Linked DNA regions of Danio rerio. The protein of the gene in region 1 interacts with the protein of each later gene in a biochemical or structural test. Links are inferred from orthologs where the notes say so. Each region holds a gene or a part of one and is shown in the gene's direction. Other genes may lie near its edges.

The links.
Region 2: of the proteins of myb (region 1) and nlk2, one has a biochemical effect on the other in vitro, tested with the Homo sapiens proteins (2 studies listed by BioGRID, with this or other methods). The link is inferred for Danio rerio from reciprocal best matches to the Homo sapiens genes MYB and NLK.

Annotation. Positions count from the first base shown.
Region 1 is NC_133198.1:34,764,838-34,774,504, forward strand, and holds the end of myb (transcriptional activator Myb), read left to right. Parts: coding exon 1-8; intron 9-381; coding exon 382-534; intron 535-1,226; coding exon 1,227-1,351; intron 1,352-1,662; coding exon 1,663-1,774; intron 1,775-2,891; coding exon 2,892-3,014; intron 3,015-3,242; coding exon 3,243-3,326; intron 3,327-3,409; coding exon 3,410-3,514; intron 3,515-6,476; coding exon 6,477-6,590; 3' UTR 6,591-7,811; downstream 7,812-9,667. UniProt on the Homo sapiens protein: Transcriptional activator; DNA-binding protein that specifically recognize the sequence 5'-YAAC[GT]G-3'. Plays an important role in the control of proliferation and differentiation of hematopoietic progenitor cells.
Region 2 is NC_133190.1:32,888,021-32,898,627, forward strand, and holds the end of nlk2 (serine/threonine-protein kinase NLK), read left to right. Parts: intron 1-1,217; coding exon 1,218-1,304; intron 1,305-3,174; coding exon 3,175-3,373; intron 3,374-5,312; coding exon 5,313-5,406; intron 5,407-7,164; coding exon 7,165-7,219; 3' UTR 7,220-8,048; downstream 8,049-10,607. UniProt on the Homo sapiens protein: Serine/threonine-protein kinase that regulates a number of transcription factors with key roles in cell fate determination. Positive effector of the non-canonical Wnt signaling pathway, acting downstream of WNT5A, MAP3K7/TAK1 and HIPK2.

The DNA of each region.
Region 1 (9,667 bases):
TTGATTCGGTAAGTTCATCTAAAATGAACAGTGACCATGTATTCATCAGCTAGCATCTAGCGTTAAAGGGATAGTTCACTCAAAAACTAAAAATTCTGTCATCATTTACTCACCTTTCACTTGAGTTTCTTTCTCCTATTAAACAAAAGAGAAGGTATTTTGAAGAAAGTTGAAAACTTGTAACCTTTGACTTCCATAGTATTTGATTTCCAACATACTACTCAATGGTTACAGGTTTTCAGCTCATCTTCTTTAGTGTTCAGCAGAAGAAAGAAACTCCTAAGTGTTTTGAAACCACACGAAAGGCGTGTAAACACTGAGCATTTATCCATTTTTGGTGAACTATCTCTTTGGGTGAAGTATCCTCCTTCATTTTCATAGGCCCCATCAGTCTGGGCCAACAAACACCCTAAAACGGAGTGCCAAACCGGTCAGGGTTCGCCTGCAAACAACGGCAACAGAAGTGCCCCCACTTTTCTTTGCTCAACGCCCAAATATTCATCCGTCAGACACCTGCCTTTTTCTCCCACTCAGGTAGTCTGAAAACCGCATTGAGTCACCCAAATGACTCTGAATTAATCTGTTCACTCTAATACGAATCAGTGTGCATTAGTCAACATGCGTAGGATTCATCAAAAGGTTGCGTTGACATACTAAATCGCATTTATAGCCAACATGAACGCTTTTAACATATTAAATGTATCACCTCAGCTATTAGTGCTACACTTTTATGATGCTTTAACACTTTTATCTCTTTGGTATGACTGTATTGATTTTGCTCTGTTGTTTTCAGTACATCAGTCAAACACTAAAGATAGTGTTTGACTTGAATATTAGATACTAATATACTCTATATACTACTAAGATATACTATATCTTGCACGAAGGACCGCTGTGTTGCTTTCTTAAATGAAATGAATGTCTAATGAGCACTGGGTGATTGGTGTATGATTCTCAGCATGCGATTACACTTTTCATTTCCTCTTATAGCTGTTATTGTTGCACTTAGTTATAATGTTCTTCATTACATGCTGGTATGCTCTAATCATACAATAGCTTAACTTGCTTTTAACCTAGTCTAATAGTATCAAAACTGTTTACTGACACTTATGTGTGAATTTATGCTGATTCTGACCTCATTTGCAGGTCCTCCTACACCTCTGAATGTTAATTATGTGGTTTACAGTTTAATATCTGATTGTTTTCTTCCTTTCTTCTGTTTGCAGTTCTTTAATGCTTCAGTGAGTCCCGATTCAGACAGTCAAAATATACCAGTCACGCCATCGCCGGTCTGCTCCCAGAAAGCACTGCAGCAAGACCTTGCTCTTCGACCTCAGAAGGAAAATGAGCTGTAAGTGCCCTTTTTGATATCATTTATAATTAGGATCTCCTATAGAGATGGAATTACTGAGGTTATAGATCAGGGGTGTTCAAACTCAGTCCTGGGGGGCCGGTGTCTTGCATATTTTAGTTCCAACCTCATTTAAACACATCTGAACCAGCCTATCAAGTTCTTTCTAGGTATACTAGAAAATTCCAGGCAGGTGTGTTGAAGAAAGTTGGAGTTAAACTATGCAGGAAACTGGCCCTTTAGACCCCTCTGTTAAAGATGATGGTAATGAGACAGTGGTTAAGTGATAATGTATATATGGCCATTTTTAGGTTCCGAACTCCCAACCTGAGGCGTTCGATCATGGAGTGTTCTCCTCGCACACCCACTCCATTCAAATCCACACTGACAATGCAGGACAGCAAATACGGACCACTGAAGAGGGTAAGACTTTTTTTTTTTTTTTTTTGAGAACACAAATAAATACACAGTATATACACATAATTTTACAATAGGATAAAATAAATTTTTACATAACAATTACATAAAATATCTATATTTTAAATATAACCATTAAAATTGAATAAATTATTATTATAAATAGCATGAAATAAACTAACTTGCAAGATTATTGTCGTTACTATTATTAGTTCCGTTATTACCAGGGGTCGCCACAGCAGAATGAACCACCAACTTATCTAGCATATGCTTTACATAGCGGATGCCCTTCCAGCCGCAAACCGACACAGAGAAACACCCATACACTTTTGCATTCACACACATACACTACAGCCAGTTTAACTTATTCAATTCACCTATACCACGTCTTTGGACTGTGGGGGAAACCGAAGCACCCAGAGGAAAAATATACATAAAAAATCTAAATGAATTTACATTGTAAAGAAAACTCCATAGAAATAATGGAAAATGTCGTGGTAAAATATTACCAGTGTATTTCCATCTGAATAATTTAAAATACAGTTTAAATAACACAAATATGTAACACGAATCAAATATCCCGGGACTGTTTGCATAAAAAAACTGTCTTAAATATTATTCAAATGTTATTAAATTATTTTCAAAGAACATGATTTAAAATTATTTGATATATTATTATCATTGTCATTTAAATATAAAAAAAATAAAAATAAAAATAAAATACGTGTGTGTGTGTATATATATATATATATATATATATATATATATATATATATATATATATATATATATATATATATATATATATATGATAACAAAATCTATACAAATCTATACAATAAAGGCAATGTACTTGCAGAAAACACCAACAATGACTAAACAAGCAGACATTTCAACAGGATATACAATATGAAACTGTAGAACACTATAAAATATTATTAATAACTTTGGGATTTCCAAAAGCAATCACTAGATGAGGTAATCTAAATGTTATACTAGGTGAAATGAAATATCCAATATCATACAACAAATGAACCCTCTAATAACAGAAACCATTTTGCTTATGCCACATTATGCTTAACTACATTGACATGTTTTATTCAAGTCTGTATTCTGGTTGCAGGTCCACAGTCCTTCGCTGGACTCTGGAGTGGTCGGCACGATTAAACAAGAGCCCCAGGAGTGTGAGATCAGTGTTGGAGGGGTGCATCTAGACCAGCCCCCTCTGAAAAAGATCAAACAGGAGGTGAGTTCAGCTGAATGCAGGCCCCTTCATTTGAATTTGATATTCAAATAGCACAAATGTAAAAACGCCTTGTCTGTACGTTGCGATTTGAATTTGTCAGTAATATCAGCATGCAGTCAAACTCCATCAGAGTGAGGCTGTGAATTGTGAGATTGTAAAAGTACTGTAAATTATGCCCGGTATAGTCAAAGATCTGTTGTAATAATTGTCAATCTTTTGGATTTGTAGGTGGAGTCAGTGTGTCTTCAGTGGGAGGGGCAAGATCTCCACACTCAGCTGTTCCCTTCTAATGGCCCCGCCCACGACATGCCTGTGAGTATCTTCGTTACGCTTTTATACGACGAATGCTACAGTTGTCAGCATTATTTTGATGTTTGACGGTTGTGTTTTTATAGGATCTGCTGACTAGCTCTGTGCTGATGCTTCCCAACACAGAGAAGACTGAGGACGGACACAAAGCTGCCCAGTTGCCCCGCAGACCCATAGGAAGTCCTTTGCAGGTATAATATTTACATATTCACTCCTGTGTAGCTATGTGAAAAGTTTTCAGAACTTATGTTTTAGTAAATTCATTTCAATTCAGCTTTATTTGTATAGCGCTTTTACAATGTAGATTGTGTCAAAGCAGCTTCACATAAAAGATCATAGTAAAATGAAATAGTGTAGTTCAGTTTTTAAAGATTAAGTTCAGTTCAGTTTAGCTCAGTTTATTGTGGTTTAATAAGTACATTTCGATTACCTTTCTAATACAACAAAATACAAATACAAAAAAAAAATAGGAGCTTTTTTTTTTAAATGCTTTTAAAAAGTATTTAAAAAATCAGACATCGCATAAGGATGTATTGTATTAAACATTACAGCTAATTTGGCCTTTCAAGTTAGATGGGTGCTGGATGAGGTCATCTGAATTAAAAAATAGGGGAAATTATTGTTTACAACTAAAGTTTCGATATCCAGGGTGTCCACGGGATCTTTAAAAGTATTAAAAGTTGATAAATCAGTCATGAAAAAATTAAGGCTGTTAAAAAGTATTACAAAGTCTTAATCGAGTTTTTACGAGGTCTTAAATTTTGTTTAAGCATTGTCCAAAGTGTTTGACTCCAAAAAAGCATAAATATATTTATTTTCCTCCTAATATTAACAATAACATCCTCAATCCATGCAATTGGTTTGGGCCAAGCTCCTCCATCCGAGTGATGTCGCGTAATTTGCGACAAACGTGGGAAGGGGATGTGACGCTCTCTGCATGTAACAAAACCATAAACCGAAACAGACAGAAAAATGTGAAAATGTAAGTTTGCATTCTCCTGGTTGAAGAAAGACGAGTTTAAACAGTGGCTAAAGCCTGTCGCTGAAAACAAGCTTTGTTTCTTCCGAGTTCTGTGGCATGGTTGTGATCCATTGATTTATTTAACTACAACTGTTTATTAAGAGCTGTTTATTAAGTTAAAGGTTTTATACTGATTAAAACTTGAAGTGGCGATGAGGTCTTAAAATATTATGAGTAGGTCTTTAAAAAGTCTTAAAAAGGTACTGAAATTACCTTTAGGATTCCTGCATATACTCTAATATAAAGCCTTAGCACATAACCAGTATGCTACCGATACACATTCTGATTGCCTGGTTTAAAATGTTTCATTCAGAATTATATTTTGGTTCCAAGAGTAAACACCAGTGTTAGTAAATAATGCACACACCCCTGTTACGTTTGGCTATCAGAAAGTATCGCATTGAAATTTTTAATGCAATGATTTGAGCTATATGTAGAATACTAGCGACACCGGTGGTCATTAAGTGAATTGCATCCAACAACCTGTTGCCCATGCTTACACTAGTGTACAAGCAACGTACTGACAAAAATTGGGATTACATTTGCAAAATGTACAAACTTAGAGTGATGTTTCCATGAATGTATGTTGCACTTTTAGATTAATGGATGCTGCACGCCTTTCCTCTTAACATTAAATTAAAGGCCACAAAACAAATAAATTTAAAAAAGCGGGATCTGATCATAGCAACATGGATATGTTTCCACAAGCTCAGCCATGCACCCTTATGGATATAAAGCTATTGCACTCTACAGATCTGGCTATGTGAAAGTAAACTTTTCTTTGCATTGACATAGCAGTACAGAATAGCTGTTTCAACATTATACTGAACATTTATTATTAGAACATTTATTATTGATTGATTGATTTTATTTGACAGTTTGAACAAAAATATACCAACAAGTCCAGTTAGAATAATTCATACATATTTTAAAAACTGTCAAGGATAAAATACACAAAAAAAGCCACAGACTTATTTCCATTGTGGTCCTCGATGATCTTAAAAACTGAACAAGCGAATTATAAATGCAAATATTAACATTATATTAACTTTAACCTTCATTTTTTTTAATTGCTCTTCTAAAAACACTCTCAAATTGAATCTCTTTTAAACTCATAGGCAATACATTAAAGAATTTCTACCTGTTTCACTCTAATCTAATCTACAAGGATAAACATGCCTGCTACTGGCTTTTGTAAAATGAAATAAACTAAAATATAATAATCAAGAAAATATTTGGGTACCATTTTCTTTATAATCCTAAACACCATCACTAATATTTACCCTTTTTAAAAAAAAAATACTTTTACTATAATGCTCATTATGTAAATGTGTCAGTGGAGGTACTTTTATAACAATTCTACACAACGTATTTTGTTTTTTGTTATTATTTTGTTCTGTTAACACTAGTGCATTTAGTTTAGTCATGATTGCGGCTAGCATCTGGACTACTCGGACATGTTCAATTTGTAAAAATGGAGCATTTTAAAAACACTAAAGACCCAGTTTTAGTTTGGAAATGCTTTTTATGTTTGTTTTAGTATAGCTTGAAATAGAGATTTTCTTAAATGGAGGCATGGCTATCTACGATCACTGTCTGATTGGTCATCTAAACTATTGCATATCCTTCGCCGATTCGTCAAGCCACTACCATATGATTTTTACACAACCAGTAGACTTCAAGTATGAATGCGGGCAAAATATGTGTATGCCCAGAAAGTGCGAATAGTCAGATATCATACATTTTACACCGTATAATGGAGTGATGGAGTTTGTTTTGCCTAAATGAGGAGTGTTTTCATTCTAAAATACGGTTTCATAACAAAAACAGTTTGTTTGGGGCTGTTGTGAAAAGTAGCTAATACTTGAAAATGCATATTTTTAGTGTCTTTAATGTATTAATGTTACTTGCGTAGTTTGTATGTACAACTATATAGTAGCATTTGGTAGTAGCACATATTTGGCTTTATGACTCCAGGTGCTGAATTGCACCATAAACTTGTAAAAGTAATGATTTATTAGACACACAAGCGTAGGCTATGCAAAACCTGACCAATCACCTTCATCTCTGAGTTTGATGTACTTCTCTCCATCCTCACTTCCCCTCTCTCTCTCTTCTTTCGTCCATCACAGCAGTTGAACACATGGGAACAGGTGCTTTGTGGGAAGACGGAAGAGCAGACGATTCCCTCTGAAGCCACGCACAAATACCTCAGCAATTATTCTTCGCGAGCTCTGGTCATATGAACGAGAGACATAATGAGACAAAAATAGAAAGGGAAGGAGGAGGGAGAGTGAAAGAAGACAATCATTCTGAAAAGAAGTAAAAAGAGGAACAGTCCCTACACTCGTGGTACATTATTTGGGAGAGGCTGTAAGCCATTTTTGTTTGTAGACTGCACAGTCGATGTTTGGTCGCCAATGTTTAAGCTGTGCCATCATTCAAGGAACCAAAGACATTGTGTTTTTTATATACATATATATATATATATGTTTTGTTTTGTTATTTCTACATTTCTGATTGGAATTTAATAATATTGTATTATATATGTTGTATTATACATGGGAAATAATTGTTTATGTGGGTTCTAATTTTATGGATTTTAATATAAGGAACAATTTGCAGTAATTTATTATTATTTTGTATTAAGAATAATAATTAACTAACTATGACGGGCGCCTTTGCCAGTGTTTGCCCCCAGTATTGCTCACTTTTTTATTCGCTAAATGTGTGTTAATTGTAAGGAGCGCATGTCCTCCTAGCATTATCCGAGTCTTACACCCAAAACCAGACAAAGAGTTGTTCTGGGTGACCAACAAAACTGCCCTTGTATGTATTTCAGACTTATAGCACTGCTGTGTATTTCTGGCTAAAACAAACTGTGCCCGATGCCTACAAAATTAGGCCAGTTTGTGAATTCAACTCAAAATTTGAAGTCATATATCTAGTGTACTCTGCCAGTTTAGTAGTGTTGCCATTTCAAAAGCTTCAAGATGGAAACCACAACGTTCATTTTTGTATTAGCACTATTTCAGGTTTTAGATCAACTCTTGCAGGAATTTCAACAGAACAAAGTGTTTGTTTGTTTTTGTATTTGCTTCAAAGGTTTACCGAACATTTTCAAATCAAGGTCCAAAGTTGCCTTCGAGATGATATACAACATTTCTTTATGTTTTCATAAACACTTTTTTGTATGACGATTTGTAATCAAATTTACCTTGGTATTTCTAGTTTTTAAACACTGAAATGATTGTTGCTTTTATACGTAGTTGGCTTGTTTTTTGATATTACAATCAGCCTTTTTTGATACTAAGATCCAATCAAAAGCATTGAGGAATAACTTTTTGTTATTCGCTGCCTTTTTGTATTAGCTTCAAGTACAAACACTTTTTATACACTGATTTTGAACTTTTCATACGTTTTTTATACAAACTGCCTTGTAAATAAAGTGTGTTTTTGAGAAAAAATATCTCTGGATTAATGGTTTCTTTTCCACTTTGCATCTCCTAAAATCTATTTACTTTCACAGATGTTCATAAGACCAAAATTAAACTACTTATTGAAATATAGTCGAAAAGACAAACTTAAATGTCTCAAGAACTTTGCATAAAAACATCATACTTGCAAGGAACTTAGTATCCAAATCCATTTTGAGTTTATGTTAATCTTTATGTAAATATCAGTAACCTATTGTACATCTAAAATAAAATAAATAATATTTTAATCACTTATTTGTTATAAAATGTAAGTTAGAATAAAAGTATTAATAAAATTATAACAAAATCCAAAACCCCATTATATACATAGTTGTGCTCCCATTAATCTTTGTTTTATATTAATTTAGGGTCAAAATAAAAGTTTTTTGACATAATATAGGTGTTTTATATATTGTATATTTATTATGTATATGTGATAGGCACACACGCATAGAAACAAAACTATACAAAACAATTGAGTAACATAGATATTTATTCATTCTTTTTTTTCGGCTTAGTCCCTTTATTATTCAGGGGTCGGCACAGCAGAATGAACTGCCAACTTATCCAGCATATGTTTTACGCAGCGAATGCCCTTCCAGCCGCAACCCATTTCTGGGAAACATCCATACACTCATACACTTATATAGACAATTTAGCCTACCCAATTCACCTCTACCGCATGTCTTTGGACTGTGGGGGAAAACGTAGCACCCGGAGGAAACCCACACGAACGCAGGGAGAACATGGAAACTCCACCTCCAGAAAGGCCAACTGACCCACCCGAGGCTCGAACCAGCGACCTTCTTGCTGTGAGGCGTCAGCACCAGGTAGTGCTGTCGCCTCACAGCAAGAAGGTTGCTGGTTCGAGCCTTGGCTGGGTCAGTTGGCATTTCTGTGTGGAGTTTCATGTTTTCCCCTTGTTCGCGTGGTTTTCCTCAAGGTGCTCCAGTTTTCCCCACAGTATATTATATCTACATGTAAATAAACATTTTCTCAAAAATTTGCATGCATATTTGTATTTATACATATGCATATGTAATTTTGATTATACTTTATTGTCATTACACATGTACAAGTACAAGGCAATGAAATGCAGTTCAGGTCTAACCAGGAGTGCAATAGCAGCAAGGGCAGGATATAGGTATAAGTTAGAAAATAGCAATTCTAGAAAAACTCCGGGTAATATTTACAGATGGATGTACTATGAACATTATATACAGGTTGTATTAAATATGAACAGAGACTTATGTCAAAACCAACTTTTATTTTGGATGCAATGAATCGCAATACATTTTATCCCAGCGTTAAATATGTAATTATTTTTTTAAAAATCCAGTAATGTGGTTTCTAAAAAATGTTAACTTGCCCTCTCAAACCATAAAGCCTTAAAAATTCTTATTTCTGGGCAAATTCAAAGAGTCCTGGAATTAAATGTTGATTGATTACAAAAATATATCACTATAAAACCTAAAAGTTAACTTTATCAAATGAAATGAGTGCAGTTACCTCAAAATTTACTGGAAGTTAATTCTTTTCATTTAAAACAAGTTTTGAACTGTTCAAGGTAATGAGTTAATTAAATACCTCATTACTGCAACTTAAATAGAGTAAGTTCACAGTACTTAAGGGTTTGAGTTGCCTTAACTTGTTGAAGCTGCTGTGGTGGTAATGGAGGAGTGGAGAGTATGAGACTGATTCCTGTAAGACCCCAGTGACAGACGAGTCTTCGCATTGATCCTGAAGGGCCAGCCTGTACATCAGCCAGTGACCTCTCCCACCTGCAGCTTCTCTACGATTGACTTCCAGCGTTCTCCAGCCTCCGGCGCCTAGACTGCAGCTCTGCA
Region 2 (10,607 bases), on another chromosome or scaffold:
ATTAACTGTAGCATATGATTGCATAAATTTGAGACTGTATAGGTGTTTCCCAGCAATGGGTTTCAGCTGATAGGGCATCCGCTGTGCTGGAATAGTTGACAGTTCATTCCACTGTGGCAGCCCCTAAAAAATAAGAGACTAAGCCGAAGGAAAATGAACGAATAAATGACAAATAAGTGATTAAAGTACACATTTCCAACATTTTCAAATGCTACACCTGAAACGACATGTTACTTTCAGGATATTTATCAAATCTCCAATCTCAATCTTTCCAATATCATGGATTTGCAGAGCATTCACAGCACTTACGAACCACACACCCCTGCTGAGATGTTGCCCACTTTCAAATCCGGATGATATTCTGGTCCCTACTGTAGATATGACTCAGAAGCTTTCTTCAATGAACGTCTGATTGCTTCTAGATAATCGCACACCTCGCTTCCGCCAGGCACCGAAAGCATTCATTCCTCCTTTCCCATCCTCTCCCTCCATCTCTCACCTTCACCTCCATCAGCTGTAGTCAGAACCCACAACACGTCATCCCGTTTTACAGGGTGAATCACCAGCCATAGTTCACATCTGCTCTCAGCTCAAAGAACCTAACCAGGGAAAACAAGCAATTACCGGTGGGCTTTTTCAATCAACTCTTTGGCGAGCCGGCCGGGGGCCTGGGATGGGGGAAGGTGGGCGGAAGAGATAATTAGACACGGTTAAAAATATCCCAGCTCATTGTCTCCGCTGTCCCACATCCTCAGATAATGTGCAGCTATTGGCGCAAAGATCATGTGCTCCTGGGAGGAATGTTTTGCATGTTTTTAGCGGCTGAACGGCCAGCGAGGATCACATGACAGCTCGATGTGCTCTTGTTTGTATGTTTTGCCTGCTTTTTACAAAACAATTAAATGATAAGGATTGTCCATGATTCTAATTCGTGTTCATTCTATGCACTGCGTTTCTGAAAGTGAATGTACTGTGGAAGTCAAACATATTCGCCCTGCTGTGAATTTGTTTTTCAAATATTTCCCAAATGATATTTAACAATTTTTCATAGTATTACCTATTATATTTATTCTTCTGCAGAAAGTCTTATTTGTATTATTTTATGGAGGAAAAAAATCTTTAGGGGGGCTAATAATTCGGACTTCAACTGTATGTTGTTGGTGAAAAGGAGAAGTTACTCTGAGACTGACTTGTCTTCCTGTTTCCTGTTTCTGCAGCCCTCACTTCCAGTCCTATATACCCTGTCCAGTCAAGCAACCCATGAGGCCGTTCACCTCCTCTGCAGGATGTTGGTCTTCGACCCAGTAAGTGTTCTTGATACTCTATTATCATATTTTCTTTTGGATTAAAGCATGTTAAATATACGTTCTGTTAAAAAATATATGACTCTGGTCTTATGTTGCATGGATATATATTTTAGGCAGTAGAAAAAATATATGGTCACACTTTATTGTGATGGTCCGGCATTAAGTTACATTGCATCTGCATGCCTACTAATTTTCATTTGATTAAAAGTCGACTGTTAGGTTGGGGTTTGGGTTAATGTAAGTTGACATGTACTTGCAAAGTTTCTTATACAGTAGTCAGTTAAAAGTCTGTTGAAGGAGCTGTATCAACAGATATTAAGCTGACAGTCTACTAATACTCAAATAGACAATCAAAAAAAGTGTAACCAAATATATTGTATGGGTCAAAATTATAAAAAAAATTTTTTAAATAATTTGCATATTAAGAAAAGTGTTGCATGAAGACATTTTTACACATTTCCTACTGCAAATGTGTCAAAACTTAATTTTGTAGAAGTATTATGCATTGCTAAGAGCTTATCTTGAACAAGTTTAAAGGTAATTTTCTCAATATTTAGATTTTTTAAACCCTCGGGTTTCAGATATTCAGATATCTCAGTCACGGTCATATCTCGACCAAATATTGCCTTATTCTAACAAAGCAAACAGTAATGAAATGATTTGTTCATCTTTCAGTTAATGTAATATTAATTTATAATTATTACTTTTTTAGTTCAGTTTGACATATTTGATTATTATTTAAACCAGATTTACCACAGACATGATGTAATATTTATGTCATTTATATCCATTTAAATTAGCATTTATATAACATAGATGTAATGCATTTTTTGTATTCTATTACATATGAACATCATTATTTCTGATATAACTAAATAATACAATATTGTAATATTTTTCTCATATATTAAATTTACTACAATATATATATATATATATATATATATATATATATATATATATATATATATATATATATATATATATATATATATATATTTCCATATAAAGTGTTATATTTTAGGGGGGAGGCTATAACATGCTGTCTGTATAAACACACAGACACACAGCAACACACTGTCTCTCATTCAAACACATTCACAAACATAGACAGCATCAAACAAACAAACACACACACGCACACACACACACACAAACAAACACACTTAAGCCCTTGCAACAGGGAGAGCTTACGCTGAGCGGAGCAGAAAAACAGAAAAAAACGAAAAAAATAAGCACTTTTCCGATGGTCCCTTACAGAGAGCTCCTCTCAGCGCGAGCTCTGCCGGCTAAAGTAAACGCAGACTGCAAGGGCTTAAACGGAGCTGTGCTCGTAATGTCGAGCGAAAAAAAGAAAGACAGCTGTGAAACATAACCAGCTTTGTCTTTCTGTAGGAAACACACTTTAGATATTTTTAGGGTAAGCGTTTTTTGAGTTATTGGCGTCTATAACTGAATGTGTGTCAGGAAAATCGAAAACAAAACCAACTGAACTGCGCTCATTTCTGGCGCCCCACTGGATATACAGCGCCCTAAGCATTTGCCTGTGGTGCCTATGCCACGGGCCAGCCCTGAGTTTGCTGAGTGTTGTAAATAACGGCGCTCACCTTCCTCGCGACAGAGCGCATAGGAGATAAATGACGTCAGTACATAATAACCGGTTATGGTTATTACTAAATCGATACCGAATTGTCCGTGTCTGCATCGCGGTGCACCGAAGAAACAATTAATTTTGACACCCCTAATATATATATATATATATATATATATATATAGTATTTATAATATATATTTGTTTTATTTGTTTTATTGTGTTTATATGTTTTACTGTAATATTTAAACTGAACTAATGTGTTCCCCGAAACAGTCGAAGCGAATCTCTGCGAAGGATGCCCTGGCACACCCGTATCTGGATGAGGGGCGTCTGCGATACCACACCTGCATGTGCAAATGCTGCTACACCACGTCCTCCGGCCGCGTTTACACCAGTGACTTCGAACCCGTCACAAACCCCAAGTTTGACGATGGATTTGAGAAGAACCTGACGTCAGTTCGGCAGGTCAAAGGTGAGCCACCAAAAACTCATTCACTTTTACACATTTATGAGGATTACAGTACACAACAGAGATGCACCAATAGACCGGCCAGAAATCCGCATTGGGTTTTTTTTGTTGCTCTAAACTAAAAATAAAACATTAAATTAAACAAATCTAGCAAACATAAACTATTCATTCACTATAAATCCTTCATTTTAATTTCTTTATTAATTATGTGATGTTTTCAACATTAAATTGATGGTACGAATAAGACGAATTAAACCTCTCTAGTACTATCATACCTTGTAATATACTGTACAGTTGAGGTCAAAATTATTAGCCAAATATTATTTATTTTTTATATTTTCCAAATATTTCACAAATTATTTATAACAAAGCAACAATTTCTTTACAATATTTCTTATGTTTTTTCTTTTGGAGAAAGTCTTAGTTTTATTTCGGCTAGGATAAAATATTTTTTTAATTTTTAAAAACCATTTTAAGTTCAATATTAATAGCTCCCTTTAGCATTATATTTTTACTAATTAACTAATTTTAACTAATTACCCTAACTCACCTAATTAACCTAATTAACCTCTGAAGAAACAAATATTTATATATTTTGTTTTGTTTATTTTTATTATTATTTTTATTTATTTATTTTCTTTTTTTTTTTTTGGCTTAGTCCCTTTATTAATCAAAGTTGCCACAGCAGAATGAACTTTCTAATTTATTTTATTTTATTTCAAAACAAAATCAGAACTGGCCACTGCATCACTACTACACAATCTACAACACGTGAGCCAAACAAAGTCAGTCTATTAATTTAACCTTTTGTCCCGATTCACCTCGCTTTGAAGACAACGTGTTCAAGAGCTAAAGGTCTTAATTGAATTGGAGCTATTTGAGAGCATGTGGCCGTCATGCCGTTGCGTGTTAATCAGAAGCCTCCTGCTGCTCCTGGTGTTTTTTGTGCCTTGTTTTCACCCTTCACTCGGGGCCCCTGGATCGGCGCTTGCCTTCCACTGTCAGCGGGTATTAGCGAGAGTCTGTCACTAAAAGCAGGCTTACTGTGCTGTCGGCTCAAAATAACTGTGCCCTTCACCCTCCCTCCTCTTCCTCCGTCCTGTGTGTTTCCACTGGAGGATTAGTCAGTGCGGATGGAGCCCAGCGCCTGGAGACTTTAAGCGCTTTAGGGAAGGCAGGCGTGTTTGGACGGCAAGGGGAAGCCCTCTTGGATCCACACATGAGGAGTTTCCACGTTGCCCAAGCTAGTTTTACGCTTTAGAAGATCTTACAGATATCATAATGCTGCAGAATCGACTCTTTGACCTGCTTCACTGCTAAAATAGACCTTGTCTTCTTTTATGATTAAGGATTTGCTCTGGAAATGTGTTGTAGAGTGTAACCAGTTTGTTTATATTAGTGTGGACACACAGTACACTATCATATACAGTATCAGTAGCATATATTATAGGGTCATTATTTATTTCATTCATTCAGTAGTCTCTATTTCAGTGGTCACCACAATGGAATGAACTGCCAACTATTCCAGCATATGTATTACGCATGTGGATGCCCTTTCAGCTGCAACCCAGTACTGGGAAACACCCATATACACACATACACTACTGCCGATTTAGTTTAATTCATGTCTTTGGACTGTGGGGGAAACCGGAGCACCCGGAGGAAACCCACACAAACACTGGGAGAACATGCAAACTCTACACAGAAATACCAATTGGCCCAGCCAGGCCTCGAACCAGCGGCCTACTTGCTGTGAGGCAACAGTGCTAACTGAGCCACCGTGCCATCCTGATGGTTTCTTTGAAGTCACATATAAACAAAATAGTTTTGTTTTTGTGAACTAAAATATGAGCCAAGTCATGATTAGCCACGATTGAATGTAACTTCTGCTGTTATTATTGTTTGTTTCTCATCGAGCCTCTGCTATTTCTCCATCACACAGAGATCATTCATCAGTTCATCCTGGAGCAGCAGAAAGGGAATCGAGTACCGCTCTGTATCAACCCTCAATCCGCTGCCTTCAAAAGCTTTATCAGGTGAGGCTGCCCTCTTCTGAACGTCTCTTCTGCTTTAATGGTTAAAGCTCTTTTCTCCAGGTCAGGTTTCATGCTGGAAAGCAATATGAGCATAATGAAAGTTAGATCTATATGTTCATAGCAATTTTTGCATTGTGACATTATTTTCATCACAAAAATTCATTTTAAGACCAGAAAAATGTGTCATTTAACAAAAATAATTGCAATAATTACAAATTATAAAGATTTTAAAAAACTGAGTGTTTTATACAGGTGTACGTTGTATTAAATAATACATATTACTTTTATTTAAATGCATTATTATTTATTTTTAGATTTCTATTTGTTAAAATGATTACTAAGTATACAATTACTATATAAATACAATGGTCATAAAATAAGCAAAACGCTTACATTTGTTTATGCAAAATGTGTTTTTTGCTAGAATAAACATATATACTTTATTTTAAACTTGAAATTAAAAAATCCCCAGGCAATTCTTTACTGAATTTATGATATTCACTCTCATGCCATACCTTTTCCTTTTACAAACATGCTAAATCAAAGCCAGTGAGTTTAAGAATCATGTTTGGACATGCTTTAGGTTAAAAGAAACATGTCATTGTTCAAAATTAACCCTAATTTTTTTATATAAAAGACCAGAGCTTGACATTAACACCAGGAAATGTGTTTAGATTTCAGCTGTGGTGGGTTAGACAGTCACTCCCACTAGCTACTTAGGCTGGTTGATAATTAATTAATATAATTTTTAAATTGTAGTTGTTATAAAAAAAAGCAGAGTTCAACAATAAGGATTTTCCAATGAGGGGCCAGCGTGAGAGATCACAATAATAACTGTGTTCGTGTAAGCAAAAGAAAGCAGGTGAATACGTGAATACCGAATGAGGCGATGTTGACGCACTGACGAGGGCTTCAGTGTCAAGGCTGATTTCAGGTGATATGACACACGCAAGTGTTTAAAGGTTTCAAAAAAAAAAACTCTTCCTTGCATGAAGCATCCGTGCCTGTAAACATAACTGGTGCGATTGGTTCTCTTTTAAATAGACTGGACAAAAAGTGATGCTTGTGCCCCACAGTCCTGCTGCTTTCAAGAGCTCCATTTTTTTTAAAGATGTTTTTGTAAGCAGCAGGTTCCTTTTTCACATGGTATGTTTTCATCTGCTTTCTTTTGCTTACAGTTATTTTAAGCTAATAATTGATTTTATTTTTATTTATTTATTTATTTATTTATTTATTTATTTATTTATTTTTGGTGTGGCTAGAGAAAAAAACAGTAAATCCTTAGTGTTGAGTCCTGAAAAATAAAAGCTAATTGCAATGCGACACTATGAATAACTCATAACTCATTTGCTCATGATCATTGAGCAAGGTCATACATAATACACAAAATAAGTGTAATCAATGAGGAGGCATGTGGAAAAAACACATCTAAATCAAGTCATTTTAGCATGCCAAAATCAAATTTTATGCATATAAAATAAATATTTTCCAACAACAAAATTGTGGCTAGTGAAAATGGCAAGTGGCTAGTAATGTTGGTAAAATACTAGCCAAGTGGCTGGTGATCAAAGAAGTTAATGTGAAGCCCTGTAAAAGACAGTATGTCTTAAATGGGAGCAATTGTTGCAAATGTTTTTGTTAAATCTAAACATTTTGATCTCATCTTCTAGCTTCCAGTCTCTCAACACTAGATGGAGACATCTCCTTATCCTTTACACAGGACCTAACAATCCCCTCTTTCTTTCATTGTGTCCACAGCTCAACAGTAGCTCAGCCCTCTGAGATGCCTCCATCTCCTTTAGTTTGGGAGTAGCTGAGGACAACAGAGAAGATGGCGTTGATCACAGTGGCAGTGGACGTCCCTCCGGCGGCCTGTCCCGTCCCGCGCCCACCCTCGCCCCTCCGGACTACTGACCCCCAGGCATCCCCAAACCTGCGTAGCATTTCACTGGAGTCTAGGACTAGCCAATGTTGCTGATATTTGTGTGTGTGTACTGTAATACTTACTAAATGGAGTTTTATAGAGGCAACCACTGCTGATGAGTTCAAGCGGGACAAGGGAAGGGTGGGCGTGGTCCTGGGGGGTCCGTTCGTTCATACCCACTGCTCTGTAGTAGTAAACTGAAGGTTCGGAAAGCTCTCGAACCTGTACTTTCGGCAGATAAAGTCGATCCCTGTGGACTTGAATGTATTGAAGAGCAGGGCGGCAGAATCTGTGCAGTATCCCTGAAGGAAAACTCATCACGACTATGTGTGCGAGTAATCATGCTTTATTTATTCACGGAAACAAGAAGTGCAGTGCATCATGTAGTATCGAAAAGAAGGCAAGTTTTTCTTAAGTCTGAAGTTTTTTCGCTCGCGATAGCACCTTAGAAAGAAACAGGGCCGTGGTATAGGGTGGGACAGGAAATATCCCTGACACACCAAGCCAAATCTTGGTTTCCGGTCAACGTCTTGCCATCCATTGGTCAGTTATGTTTTTCTAGAGTGGAGTTAGTCCGACCTGTTAGGGGACTTTCTGGCCAATTGAGAATGCTGAAGCGCAATCTGTGCCATCAGTGAGAGAGAAGACTCTGATTGGCTGTTCAGTTTTGAAGAGGAGTCATAGCTAATTCAGGAGTCATTAATAAAAGCCAAAGTGATGAAAATGAACAAAGAATTTAAAAAGGCACAGAGAGAAGGCTCTTATAAGGTATTTAGGTCATCTTACCTAATCACAGATATATTTGTAATGACAGAAAGAGTCTGGAATGAGCAAAGTGATCATTACATTGTTTATATTGAAAATATGGCACACATTATGTGCACTATTTGACTACTAATGGCACTTTATAATGCAGACTATTGTCAGTGAAAGTCCACAAGACCGCAACGTGACCCAATCTGTGGCATTGCTAGGAGATTATATGCACAGGTTTGGGCTCTGGGACCCTTTGCTAAAGATTTCAGTCATGGGACTTTACTGTTGTGGGCCTCTAGACCCTATGCCCTCCATTTCCCCCTACATTCAGTACACTGCTGTTGGCATCTAGCATATTTTTAGCTTTCAAATAGCGACAATTGTGGACAGCAAGAGTTTAGGATGCCAACTGTTATTGAGCCATAGACTATTGAATCCTGCTGATGTATAGACAGTTATTTCCTCTCACTCAGGCACAGATCAAACCTGCTATTAGGCCATTGGTTGCAGTCTTTGTAGTGTTTTCACACACACTAACTCAAGGTGAAGCTATTGCTGGCTTTTGCCATCCTTAGTTTTCTGGTGTCACTTGGTGTGTCAGGTCCGTATCAAGTTGTACTGGGCCTTGTAAATTTTAGCAATGGCGCTTACAAGAAGTTTAACCACTCATTTTACTAGTTCGAGCTACTCATTGTGTTTATTTGCTTTATTTTTTATGTAATAGAAGAGATTCCTCCATTTTCTCTTTTGTCCGTAGCCTTTTGTTAGAAATCTGTATTGATTTTGTTTTCATCTCATGTTTAGTTTTTGCGAGTAAAAGAAAAATCAGTATACCATAGCGCAGCACTTGGCAGAGGAACTGATTCAAAGGCTTCTTTTAGTACTCCTGAATGTGAATGTGTTGTGTCAATATTTAGTGCTGCAGATGGGTGACTGTATGGCACAGTGTCTCTGAACATTGGCCCAATCCCAAACGGCACACTTCATGTGAGCTTGTGGGCTTGCAGACATTTAGTGACCGCCATGTGCACTTGTCTGTGAAGTCCGCAAGACCGGAGGGTGTCCTAACCATCGGTTTAGCTTACAGAAGGGGGCTCTGAGCACATGCTATGCGCATTTCTGTCACACTTGCACTGAGGTGAGCTTCAAGCAGACCCGTGTGGTCTACCACAAGATTTTAGAGTGCCATTTGGGATACTATTGATGCCTGCTGATATAGACATGTATTTCCTCTCACACTGATTGGCCATTGGCTGTAGTCTTTTGCATTGTGTCAAAATTAACCCCAAACTTGAGGGTGGCCACAGTCAGCTTTCAATACTGCTAGTTATCTGGCCACAGCTTGGTGTGTCAGGACCCTTAGGTCCACCCTTATATAAATTTGTCCTGGGCCTTGTGAATTTTAACAATGTAAGAACTGTGACTACTCGTTCAGCCAGAGTAAGTTCTCATTGTGTTTATTAGCTTTGATTTTGAATGACTTTCTTCCGTTTTTGCTGTCATCTGCGCTCTTCCTTTCTCTATCTATATATATTTGTTCATATCTCACTTTCTGTCTCATATTCAACTTTTGTCAGTGAAAAAGATCAGTATTCCTTAGCGCAGCGTTCGGCAGTGATACTGATTGGTAGGCTTGTCTTAGTACTCCTGAATGTGGTTGTGTTGTGTCAGTATTTAGTACTTGGGATGGGTAACTGAACAGCACAGCAACTCAGAAGCAATGGCCCTATCCCAAATGGCACACTGCATGTGCACTTGTGGTCTTGAGAACTGCCTGGTCTACAAGCTGGTGTCCAAGTCATCATTTTAGCTTTCAATAGAGTGCTCATAAACTGCTATGCACCTTTTGTGAACTTCTGGTTACTACAGAACTTCTACCCAACAGTCAAGGCAGCATTACATCAATAAAATGTGGTCTCGGAGGAACGCCGTGTGCTAACAACACGTGACATGACAAGATTAAAGCGACAAGCAATTGGTCTGTCCTCATAGGACGCACCATGACTGAAAAACTTAAATACCAGAGCAATTCAGAAACATATAGTAGTGCACTGCATCCCAATTAAATGTTAAGGTTTATAATCTAATTAATACATATTACATATCTTTAACATTAATAAAAGTATAAGCCGAGTGACTGATGTTTGTTTATAGTCACAGTTCTAACGTAATTAGTTAACTTATTTTAAATATTTGAGGTTAATTATCTGCTTATGCTTTCAGTATGGCTATAAATGGGATGTAAAATGGGATTCAAATTCACATTGGTTGCATTTAACACTGAACAAAGCACCTGAGGTGTTCAATCTCAGTAGATTATGCTGTTGTTCAGCAGTGACATCACTGAAATAAAAACTTAAATAGGAACTTTGCAGGTCGGTTAGGACAAAAACTCTTTTTAACATGGAAAAGATAGCTGTTATTGTGTCACAATGTTGCTTGTAGTTCGGACACAGATGAAGACCTAAAGAGTTTAGGGTGTCATTTGGGAATGGGCCATTGCGGATCCAAAGCATGCAAG